Linked DNA regions of Xenopus tropicalis. The main gene of each other region encodes a partner of the protein of the gene in region 2 in a complex. Links are inferred from orthologs where the notes say so. Each region holds a gene or a part of one and is shown on either strand. Other genes may lie near its edges.

Region 1 (4,420 bases), on a different chromosome or scaffold from region 2:
CAAAGGCACAAGAAGAAAATAATTTTGGAGAAAAAAACTACCATGTGCCCCTTGAAAGGTTCATGTGGAATTTCAATCCTGCAAACTAATACATACTAATAATTGCCAATGCACAAATTATGGCCTATGTAAAATATTAAATTAATATTGAAAAATTAGCACCACACATCCCCCAAAATATTTAAGTTTACTTGTCACACTAAGGCCCCTCATTATATGTGAGTTCTTCACTGCCTTATTTTATTGTAAAACCATGTTCTCTTACCCTTAGCACAGGAACACTAGTGAGACTAGTAGGGAAGGACCCCACCTAACATAACTATACACCTATGAATGAAGACTATATAAATAGCAAACAAATCTTAACATGTATGACCACCTTAACAAAATTAACTGAAATAGCTTAAGGCCATGGTACTAAATATAATTCAAGATGATGACAGATGTGCTACTTGTTCCATATTATTGCTAAATCATTTATAATTTAGATGACTAGATTAATGTTTACAAACTGTCCAGTAAATTAGTACAACAGATCACACAGAATATTGGAGAATATTGCCTTGAGCTCCACACACTGGGAAATCTGCGGGTGCACATCAAGGCTCTTTGCTGTCCAAGAAGGCAGATCTGATGCTTCCAACCCCTTATGTTTCCATCACCTGTACATACATTTTCTTCTCTCAGACTGGGTATTGGTCAGCGGAGATTGCAGTTGCATGTAAATGGAGAAAGCTATTGGGAATTCTCCATGTAAAATTACAGGAGTATTTTTTGCCACCCCTGGAAAAGGAGAGACTTCTCACCTTGCCTTATGGCAAAAGGACCCATGGAAACTTGTGTCCACTGGATGCAGTTTAGAGGATTTGTACCCGGTTTTTAACTGAATCTGAATCCTTGAAATACAGGGCTGGTGGCAACCCTACAGCACAACAATACTTAAATGCAAAGAATTTCACTGGACTATAATAATTATAATTGATTTTTTTGTGCAAGACATAAGTACACTATATATATATATGTTTGTGTTTATATATACTATGGGGCACATTTACTAACCCACGAACGGGCCGAATGCGTCCGATTGCGTTTTTTTCGTAATGATCGGTAATTTTGCGATTTTTTCGTATTTTACGATTTTTTCGTAAAAACGCGAGTTTTTCTTAGCCATTACGAAAGTTGCACAAAGTCGCGATTTTTTCGTAGCGTTAAAACTTGCGCGAAACGTCGCGCCTTTTAAGTTTTAACGCTACGAAAAAGGCGCGACTTTGCGCAACTTTCGTAATGGCTACGAAAAACTCGCGTTTTTACGCAAAAATCGTAAAGACGCTGAAAAAATCGAAAAAAATACGAAAAAATCACAAAATTACCGAAAAAGTCGCAAAAAAAATGTTCATTTCCAATCGGAATTTTTCCAATTTGGATTCGAAATCGTGTCTTAGTAAATCAGCCCCTATATGTATAACACAGAAGTGCCATGAATATCATATAATTATATCCTTAAAAATTATGCTTAGTGATGGCATCAGTTATAACGATGCTTAATGATGTAATTTCTGACACATGGCTCACTGAAACTTGTGTATTTATAATAACTAAATGTATCCACTGTTGTAAAATAAGAGGATATAAGAACTCATGGTCACGAAACTCCTCTGTGGAATGGCTATCCTTATATTTTAAAAAAGAGGGTACATTATTCACTATATATATGTGTGTGTGTGTGTTAAGCAATATTATAGTAAAAATCAGACAGTGAAAAATGTTGCATTGTATTAATAAAAATAGTTTGGACACCAATCTAGTGCTCATTTATGAACAAAAGTGCAATGCTCTAGGAACAAAAATGTATATGCCAGTATAATAGTTGGCACTCAAAGAACAGCATGCTCTTCAGCTTGTGATTTACCACGGCAGGTTTATATTAGAAAACATTTGGATTCGGTTCAGCCAGGAGTGTGGATTTGGCCGAATCTTGGCTGAATCCCTAACTGAATCCTGGATTTGGTGCATCCCTAGAAATTAGTTTTGTGTGTTGATGTAACATGTAAAGAAGTCCTAAAAGTAACACCTCCTCAACTTCTGTATAGTTGCGCCAAGCACCACTGTGTCATTCCTCATCCTGCTTATTGTGATGAACCAAAGTGCAATAGAATTGTGACAAAAGAACTAAACACTAACGTAATTTTAATGCTGACTCTCGGAAGTGATGCAATCCTAACTCTTAAAAAATGTTAGCTGCACTGCTCAATTCTGTTTGTTTTGACACAGCATGTGCAAGTTGCTGTGTGCCCACAATTAAGTTTGAATTAAAAAACATGGTGATTTGCATCAAAAACTGCACGCTGAACTTAAGGTTGTAAATGACCTCTTACATTTCAATCCATTGCAAAGTAGTTTTGCAGCATTGCATAGTTAGGAGCCATTCAACCCTGCTCTGTATGCTTATCATAAGATATCCTATATCTGATTACCTTTCGTTGCAAACTGATTATTTTCTGATTCTGTCTCTCATTAGATGCAGGTATCCAGTCAGGCCTAGAGCAACACTGAAGAGCCTGAGGATAGTGGAGACATAGCAACTGCAGGGGCTGCCCATGATAACGATGCCATCTTCCTTTTCCACATGCTGCCTTTCCAAATACGCAACTCTATAACATACTGTATTTTAAACAGCAAATATCAGCAAGTGGCCCTTACCTGCAATGAATCCTGTTCAGCAGAACAACAAAGTGATATTCACTGAGAAATGCTTACCCAGCAGGAAGACACTTTAAGATCCTGCCCACAAACCTTGCCCAGCCGATTCAGAGAGAATTGTATACAAAAGGTTGCTAGGTTTCTGTAATGGTAACAAAAGATGTATAACAACAAGGTACCGGTAAATCTCTGAGAAGAGACAAAAACAAGAAATTTGTTAATGCAAATCACCTTAATAAAAAGAACAAAACAAAACATATTAAAGATTCAGAGTCTGAACTTAAAGGTAATCTATACCCGTAAAATGTTTTTTGTATAATGAAATAAAAAACATCTCTATGCTATCCTACACTCCCAGCTTTCCATTATGTGTGTATAAGGTATTTATAGTAGAAATATCATTTTCAGTAGCAATGACATTTACAAATAACTTTAAGGGTTCTGGCACACGGGGAGATTAGGGCGACTAATCTCCCCATGTGCCAGAGCCCTAAGACCGCTGAACATTTGAAATGTAATGTATAATGTAAAATTGCTTTAAATTAAATCTTCTTAAATTATGCTAAATGTTTTTGGGTTTAGATCCTCTCTGGGTAAAGACACGTGGAGCTATTTAGTAGCAGCTACTTGTGACGGCTACTAAACCCCAGAAAATACCCTGCCAAAGACAATACTGAGAATTGCCTCTGCTAAACCACACTTAGGGGCACATTTACTAATCCACGAACGTCCGAATGCGTTTTTCCGTAATGATCGGTATTTTCTGCGAATTGTCAAGACTTTTTCGTCGCCGTCACAACTTTTTCACAAATTGTCGTGACTATTTCGTCGCCGTCGCGAAAAAATCGGATTGGTTCAATACGTATTGCTCAATACAAAAAAACCGCGATGGCGACTAAAAAGTCGCACAAAATATGATAGCCGTGACGGCGACGAAAAAATCACGCAAAATACGAAAAAAAAACGCGATGGCGATGAAAAAGTTGCAAGATTTTCATTTCCAATTCGATTTTTTCCCATTCGGGATTCGGATTTGTGGATTAGTAAATGTGTCCCTTAGAGACAATTATCAGTAAATGATCAGTATTGGTTATTCCTGTAGCCATGTCAAGTAGCTGATACTAGGCGCTCTGAGTGTCTTCAACCTTACAATGAATTTTACAGAACCTTCAGTATAAGACTGCTTACATGTGTGCAAAAAAACAGGTGTAACTACTGAGGAAGCAGATGCTGTGGTTGCAGGGGGGCCCAGTAGTGTAGAGGGCCCAATAAGTCATTCATTAATGAGAAAAGGTAAACTTACCAAAGTTTTGGAGTCCTAAACTGTGTGCACACTTGGAAATAAGGCAGCACATTTATTATACTATTTTGGCTTACTAATGCCATATATATTATAAAATTGCTTCATATCTTTTTGTACAGAAACATTGGTTGTACTGAGAACCATTACGTGTTATTGGTTTCTCTGCTTCTCACCAGGGAACAACTGTAAACCACACTGACGTGCAGTGTGAAAAAAACAATTTTAGACAAAAGTCGCGGTGTACTTTACTTACAATGCAGAACACCAGAAATGAAGCCAGCAAAGAGAACTGTTTAAAATTGCACTTGACTCACTGCACTTGTGGATGTACATGAGCCCTTAGGTGTAGGCAATGCAACTGCCATGTTTTTTTCCAACAATGCAGCATTTTTTCCTGTAATTCTGGCGTCACTGCAG
Region 2 (2,310 bases):
ATAACCTCCCCTAATAATTCCCATAACCTCCAATAATAATTCCCATAACCTCCCCTAATAATTCCCATAACCTCCCATAATAATTCCCATAACCTCCAATAATAATTCCCATAACCTCCCCTAATAATTCCCATAACCTCCCATAATAATTCCCATAACCTCCAATAATAATTCCCATAACCTCCCTAATAATTCCCATAACCTCCAATAATAATTCCCATAACCTCCCCTAATAATTCCCATAACCTCCAATAATAATTCCCATAACCTCCCTAATAATTCCCATAACCTCCCCTAATAATTCCCATAACCTCAATAATAATTCCCATAACCTCCCCTAATAATTCCCATAACCTCCCATAATAATTCCATAACCTCCAATAATAATTCCCATAACCTCCCCTAATAATTCCCATAACCTCCAATAATAATTCCCATAACCTCCCCTAATAATTCCCATAACCTCCCCTAATAATTCCCATAACCTCCCCTAATAATTCCCATAACCTCCCATAATAATTCCCATAACCTCCCCTAATAATTCCCAAAACCTCCCCTAATAATTCCCATAACCTCCCCTAATAATTCCCATAACCTCCCATAATAATTCCCATAACCTCCCCTAATAATTCCCAAAACCTCCCATAATAATTCCCATAACCTCCCATAATAATTCCCATAACCTCCCCTAATAATTCCCATAACCTCCCCTAATAATTCCCATAACCTCCCATAATAATTCCCATAACCTCCCCTAATAATTCCCATAACCTCCCCTAATAATTCCCATAACCTCCCATAATAATTCCCATAACCTCCCCTAATAATTCCCAAAACCTCCCATAATAATTCCCATAACCTCCCATAATAATTCCCATAACCTCCCCTAATAATTCCCATAACCTCCCCTAATAATTCCCATAACCTCCCATAATAATTCCCATAACCTCCCCTAATAATTCCCAAAACCTCCCATAATAATTCCCATAACCTCCCCTAATAATTCCCATAACCTCCCAGTTGCCGTTGCCCTTACACATTTAGGTTTTACCCTGTAGCAAGTTACAGCATTGGGAATATACTGCCTGGCTGAATGTTACACGTGGCACTTTGGGTTTAGTTGCCCTTTAAGCCAGCTCACTGCTCTGTGCTTTGGTTTGAGGATGAAGATGGAGATGCGGGAGAATCCAACGCTGACAGCAGCGCAGGGGGGAGCCATGGACCCCAAGGGCTTATCCATCCCAATGAGGTTCTGGGGGCCATCAAGGCTTTTGTTATGGAGTTCCAGAAACCAAGGTTTGTGCAGCGGGTACCCCTGGCATTATCCTTACATGCACTATTCCCCTGTACTAAGCACAATTCAGCAGGAACAGCCCCTAAGTTTGCTCATAGCCTGTACAGAGAGATACCATAAAACTATGGCACATAGGGATTCCCCTGTACTAAGCACAATTCAGCAGGAACAGCCCCCTAAGTTTGCTCATAGCCTGTACAGAGAGATCCCATAAAACTATGGCACATAGGGATTCCCCTGTACTAAGCACAATTCAGCAGGAACAGCCCCCTAAGTTTGCTCATAGCCTGTACAGAGAGATACCATAAAACTATGGTACATAGGGATTCCCCTGTACTAAGCACAATTCAGCAGGAACAGCCCCCTAAGTTTGCTCATAGCCTGTACAGAGAGATCCCATAAAACTATGGCACATAGGGATTCCCCTGTACTAAGCACAATTCAGCAGGAACAGCCCCCTAAGTTTGCTCATAGCCTGTACAGAGAGATACCATAAAACTATGGCACATAGGGATTCCCCTGTACTAAGCACAATTCAGCAGGAACAGCCCCCTAAGTTTGCTCATAGCCTGTACAGAGAGATACCATAAAACTATGGCACATAGGGATTCCCCTGTACTAAGCACAATTCAGCAGGAACAGCCCCCTAAGTTTGCTCATAGCCTGTACAGAGAGATACCATAAAACTATGGCACACAGGGATTCCCCTGTACTAAGAACAATTCAGCAGGAACAGCCCCCTAAGTTTGCCCATAGCCTGTACAGAGAGATACCATAAAACTATGGCACATAGGGATTCCCCTGTACTAAGCACAATTCAGCAGGAACAGCCCCCTAAGTTTGCTCATAGCCTGTACAGAGAGATACCATAAAACTATGGCACATAGGGATTCCCCTGTACTAAGAACAATTCAGCAGGAACAGCCCCCTAAGTTTGCCCATAGCCTGTACAGAGAGATACCATAAAACTATGGCACATAGGGATTCCCCTGTACTAAGCACAATTCAGCAGGAAC
Region 3 (4,425 bases), about 59 Mb from region 2:
CGCAGAAGTAAAGCAGCCTAAATAAGTGACATGTAAATAATTGCTTTACTACTATGATACAGAATTAGAAATATTGCTCATACCTTCCAGACATGTTGCTCTCCTAATGTCCAGATGCAGGCAGGACTGTAAAAAAAAAAAAAAAAAAAAAAAAAAAGACGTAGAAATATTTTTGTTAAACTGCAAGCTTTATGTGCTTTAATTATATTGCGTTTGATTTAATTACTTTCCCTGAGAAATGTCACAGGAAATAGATACAAACAGTGGCAAATGGAACCTCACAAATACCATAACACTATCTAAAAACATTTGGTGATGCATACACAGTTATGCATACACAGTTATGCAGACAGTTTCATTTGCAATCACATGTAACACTATGTCATTAAGAGTATTAATGATTCACTCCAAGTATTGGAGACCTTATTCTGGGTTAACATTTAAAGAGAAAGAGGTGGATCTTTTTCTCCAAGAGGCACGCCACAATCTTACCTGCATTTCCCAGGAGCCCTTATACCTATAGTCTTACCTGTGCACAATGCAGTAAAAAGTACCTATACTGTGCCTGTGCAAGGGATCCAGGTAAATACAGATAGATGGTGGTGTGACAGTTAGAAAGATGCCCACGGCCAACATATTGCTTCCCCTAGTAAATAAGACTACTTGTCCTTTTAAAGAAAATCTAGGACAAGATCAATATTATCTTTATGACACCTCTCTTAAATGAACAATAAAAACATCTTTCCAAATATGTCATATGAAACAAACATTTTCCCTTAACATGTGTGACTTTGCAATAGCAAAAAGCATGATCAGGAAGCACATCTCCAGCAGGCACACACCCGAGTGACCCCACAATTACCCGCTTACAAAGGCAGGACTTACGATCCTAAATTGGCTTTCCAGCAGCAGCTGACTTCTATAATAGAACTATACGAATAGGTGGCGGCAGAAAACCTATAGACAAGTACAAGCCAAGCTGCCCAGCACTTCAATTAGCCAAGCTTATTCCCCGTTTGTATTAAGGGACAACTACTACACAAAACTCGGCCTCTCAGCGAAGGGAAACTTCCTTAGGTGTCTGGCACAACTGTCGCCAAAAGAACAACTCGAAAACAAGTTTGCTGCAGTTGTACAGCTGCGAAAATAAGCCGGCAATGGGAAAATCCTATCAGCCTAGCTCCAATGCAATCCTCTCCGTATCCCAAACATCCCGTCTCCCACAGGCTCAAAGCCAGGCCCGGCAAATAACGCTCAAGTAGACGTCCCCGTTCATGTCGGTATTTCTCTCATACGACCCATTTAACTGTCCATTTTTCAGTATTAATATTTGACTATACACTAAGCTCACCCGCACTGGTAACCAAGATGGAGGAAAAGGAAGGGGGAGCGCTTTGCATGACGGGAAATTATGAACGTAGCATGCGTGAGGTGTCCATGTGACTGCCTAATGTAAAAGGGTAAAAAAAAAAAATAAATTAAACCCAATTTCAGGGCAATGAACTATGATCTCTAAGAGAATTGATTTTAAATCTAAAATCGTGAGATAAATGCAATAAATGTTAAAAATGATATATAACCGGCGGTACGAAGACGAATAGGACGCAAGGACTCTCGGGCAGGGTACGATCCCCATGGCAACTGTATGTAAACATTGGGTGTTCTGACGCACAGGTAACTTGCAAATCAGTTTTCGCAAAATCTGTATTGGCATTATATATTTTACATTGTACGTGAATGTGCATATAGCTACATAGTTGGGGTAAAAAGGGATGCAGTGTGTGTTTGGTAGACGTTACCATACCTGAGTAGTAGTAATACAGGGACTTAAGAAACATACACTGGCTAAGATACAGGCTCCCTGTTCTATAGTAAATGCTTTTTATTTGGCTGGATATAATACTTTAATGGATAAAACATAAAATTCTAATTGCATTATCCTTTAGTTGTATTACAAGAAAAGTAAGCAGTTTGTTATGTAGGGATGCCCCTCTTCCAATACTACCAGTGTCCACTCTCAGCTGCCCTTCCAATCCATACACCAACCCATTTGCATTCACATTTGGGCAAGAAAAAGTCACCCAGTTGTCCGTTATAAACACATTTGTGTCTTTGAAAACATCTGAATTGATCCATCTTATATACTTCCTTATGAAATTGCATTCAGTAGGATGGTGCAATGGAATGTTCTAGGTTTCCCTGGTCAGTTCTTAATCTGGAAATGCTATTGTTAGTACTGTGTTTGGAGTTTCCTTATTGGCTCAAAGGGGACCTGCCACCCAGACATAAAGTCAAAGTAATTTTTAAATTTAACATGAAACCCAAATTTTTTTAATGAAAACATCCATACCTGTTATAATGGTATTTCAAATCTTCAAATTTGTCTCTGTGCATATGAGTTGTTAGCAGTGGTTTGGGCAGCACACTAGTCATTAAATGCATAGTTTGCGAAGAACATAGACACACATATAATCAGGGCACATGCTCTTCGCGAACTATACTAATTGTATACATACAAGTGCACCCAGGTGTTAAACTATAGTGCGAGGTTAACTTTATCAATAGTCATTAAATGCAAGCATGAGCACCTAAAACAAATTTGGGCTCATGGAGACTTCTGGGAAATGTAGTATGGGCTCTGCACATACAGGTTGCTATGGCAACAGAGCGCTATTAAAGAGGAATTGCCTCTTTGTCAATCTCCTTTGTGCTTTTGCTGTTTACTATGCCCCATGGTTGATAATAGCATTATAATTTTTTTTACCTTAGCACATTCTAATTATTACAAGCTTTTTGGTGCCTTTTTGGGCTTATTAGGGTGGGGAAGGTAGATTTTCACTGTTTGTGTGTGGATACAGAAATCCTTAAGAAAGGTTACACTGTAGTGACCAAAACACTGAACTTTGCACATGATTTTGTAAATATATTTGATTTATTTGCTAAAGATCCATGCTTGCAGAACTTTTTGGGGCTTAGTGTTTGCTTATCTTGCATTGTTTGGTAGGCACCTTTTAAAAAGTGTTTTATCCAATTTGCAGCAAACTAAAGGCTTTGCATTCTGACACATTCATACCTTGCAGGTCAAGTAAAACTCCTTGAAAGATGACATTGTCTATGCTGGATGCACTTCGGGCGTGCACTGTACTGGAGGACAGCCTAGATCAACTCTCCGTTCTGGGAAACATCATGCCTGTATCTTACCATGGCCGCAGTGATGTTAGTGACCATAAACATTTGGCTGTGATTGGGTATTTTGTGGAATCTAACTTTTGATGTTGAATATCCTAAAAAGTCCTGCAAATGTAACCTGGTTATAAAGTTAGCATATATTATCTAGTGCAGGGATCCCCAACCAGTGGCTCGTAAGCCACATGTTTTTCACCAACCTGTTGGATGTTGCTCCCAGTGGCATCAAAGCAGGTGCTTATTTTTAAATTCTTGGCTTGGAGGAAAGTTTTGGAAGCATTGTAGGCTGCCAGACCACATAGGAGCTACCAGTAGCCAATGACAGCCCAAAATAGACACCCCCTGGACCTTTTTGCGTGCTTGTGTTGCTCTCCAACTTTTGATTTTTGCATGTGGCTCATGGGTGGAAAAAGGTTGGGGATCCCTGATCTAGTGCAATACAAGATGCTCTGGGAACAAATATTTTCTGAGCAAACATTTATATTAAAGCAGCGTCGTTCGGTCTGGAATATTTGTAGTGACTGTTTTTGCCTTTCTTTATAATTAGTCGGCTTTCTAATGTCTTGTGTGTAATTTTAGATAGTTGGAAATGAAATTGGAAAGATTCTAAAAACACAGAGGCAGCTGGAAGGAAAATTTGAAGACCTCATGGGGAAACGAGCAGAAGTTCGAACAACCTCTTTCCCTCTGTCCAGTAAGATGCTGGATCTGACAAAGCAGGTGGAAGAAACTAGCGGAAATCTAAAATTGACCAATGAGCAGTTTATTCGAGTAGTGAAACAGAGTCCTCTAACTGCAGATAACCTCAGGAAGGTCCAAGCCGACAGGTGAGACAGATGCTTCTTTTTGTTTGTAAGCGTCATGGCAGACGGGGAGATTAGTCACTGCGCGACAAATCTCCCTTGTCGCGGGCAGCTAATCTCCCCGAAATGCCATCCCATTGGCTAGATTGTAAATCGCCGGTGGGATGGCATACACAATTGTATTAAAGGGGAAGGTCGATACATTGATAATCTAAGCTGTAGTTTAATAAAGTCTGAGGCTGATGCCACACGTGGTGTAGGGCTGATTTTTTCAGCCCTACGCCTGCTACTTGTGCCTGCACCCGAATGAATGGAATACGCTCAGGGGCAGGCACATGTAGCCGATATTCGCATGAAAACGCGAGAGAATGCAAAGCCTCGCGTTTTCATGCGTATATCGGCTACATGTGCCTGCACCCGAGCGTATTCCATTCAT

What was found.
Region 1: drc1 (region 2) and ccdc153 share a complex: the UniProt entries of both Homo sapiens proteins name them as parts of the nexin-dynein regulatory complex. The link is inferred for Xenopus tropicalis from reciprocal best matches to the Homo sapiens genes DRC1 and DRC12.
Region 3: drc1 (region 2) and iqcg share a complex: the UniProt entries of both Homo sapiens proteins name them as parts of the nexin-dynein regulatory complex. The link is inferred for Xenopus tropicalis from reciprocal best matches to the Homo sapiens genes DRC1 and DRC9.

What each region holds. Positions count from the first base shown.
Region 1 is NC_030683.2:80,326,163-80,330,582, reverse strand, and holds the start of ccdc153 (coiled-coil domain-containing protein 153), read right to left. Parts: upstream 2,890-4,420; 5' UTR 2,701-2,889; intron 2,651-2,700; exon of another isoform or gene 2,475-2,650; intron 1-2,474. UniProt on the Homo sapiens protein: Component of the nexin-dynein regulatory complex (N-DRC), a key regulator of ciliary/flagellar motility which maintains the alignment and integrity of the distal axoneme and regulates microtubule sliding in motile axonemes.
Region 2 is NC_030681.2:159,590,755-159,593,064, forward strand, and holds part of drc1 (dynein regulatory complex protein 1), read left to right. Parts: intron 1-1,162; coding exon 1,163-1,296; intron 1,297-2,310. UniProt on the Homo sapiens protein: Component of the nexin-dynein regulatory complex (N-DRC) a key regulator of ciliary/flagellar motility which maintains the alignment and integrity of the distal axoneme and regulates microtubule sliding in motile axonemes.
Region 3 is NC_030681.2:100,505,640-100,510,064, reverse strand, and holds the start of iqcg (dynein regulatory complex protein 9), read left to right. Parts: upstream 1-1,536; 5' UTR 1,537-1,674; intron 1,675-3,080; 5' UTR 3,081-3,102; coding exon 3,103-3,216; intron 3,217-3,765; coding exon 3,766-4,013; intron 4,014-4,425. Other genes in the region: rpl35a (60S ribosomal protein L35a), read right to left, coding at 84-94. UniProt on the Homo sapiens protein: Component of the nexin-dynein regulatory complex (N-DRC), a key regulator of ciliary/flagellar motility which maintains the alignment and integrity of the distal axoneme and regulates microtubule sliding in motile axonemes.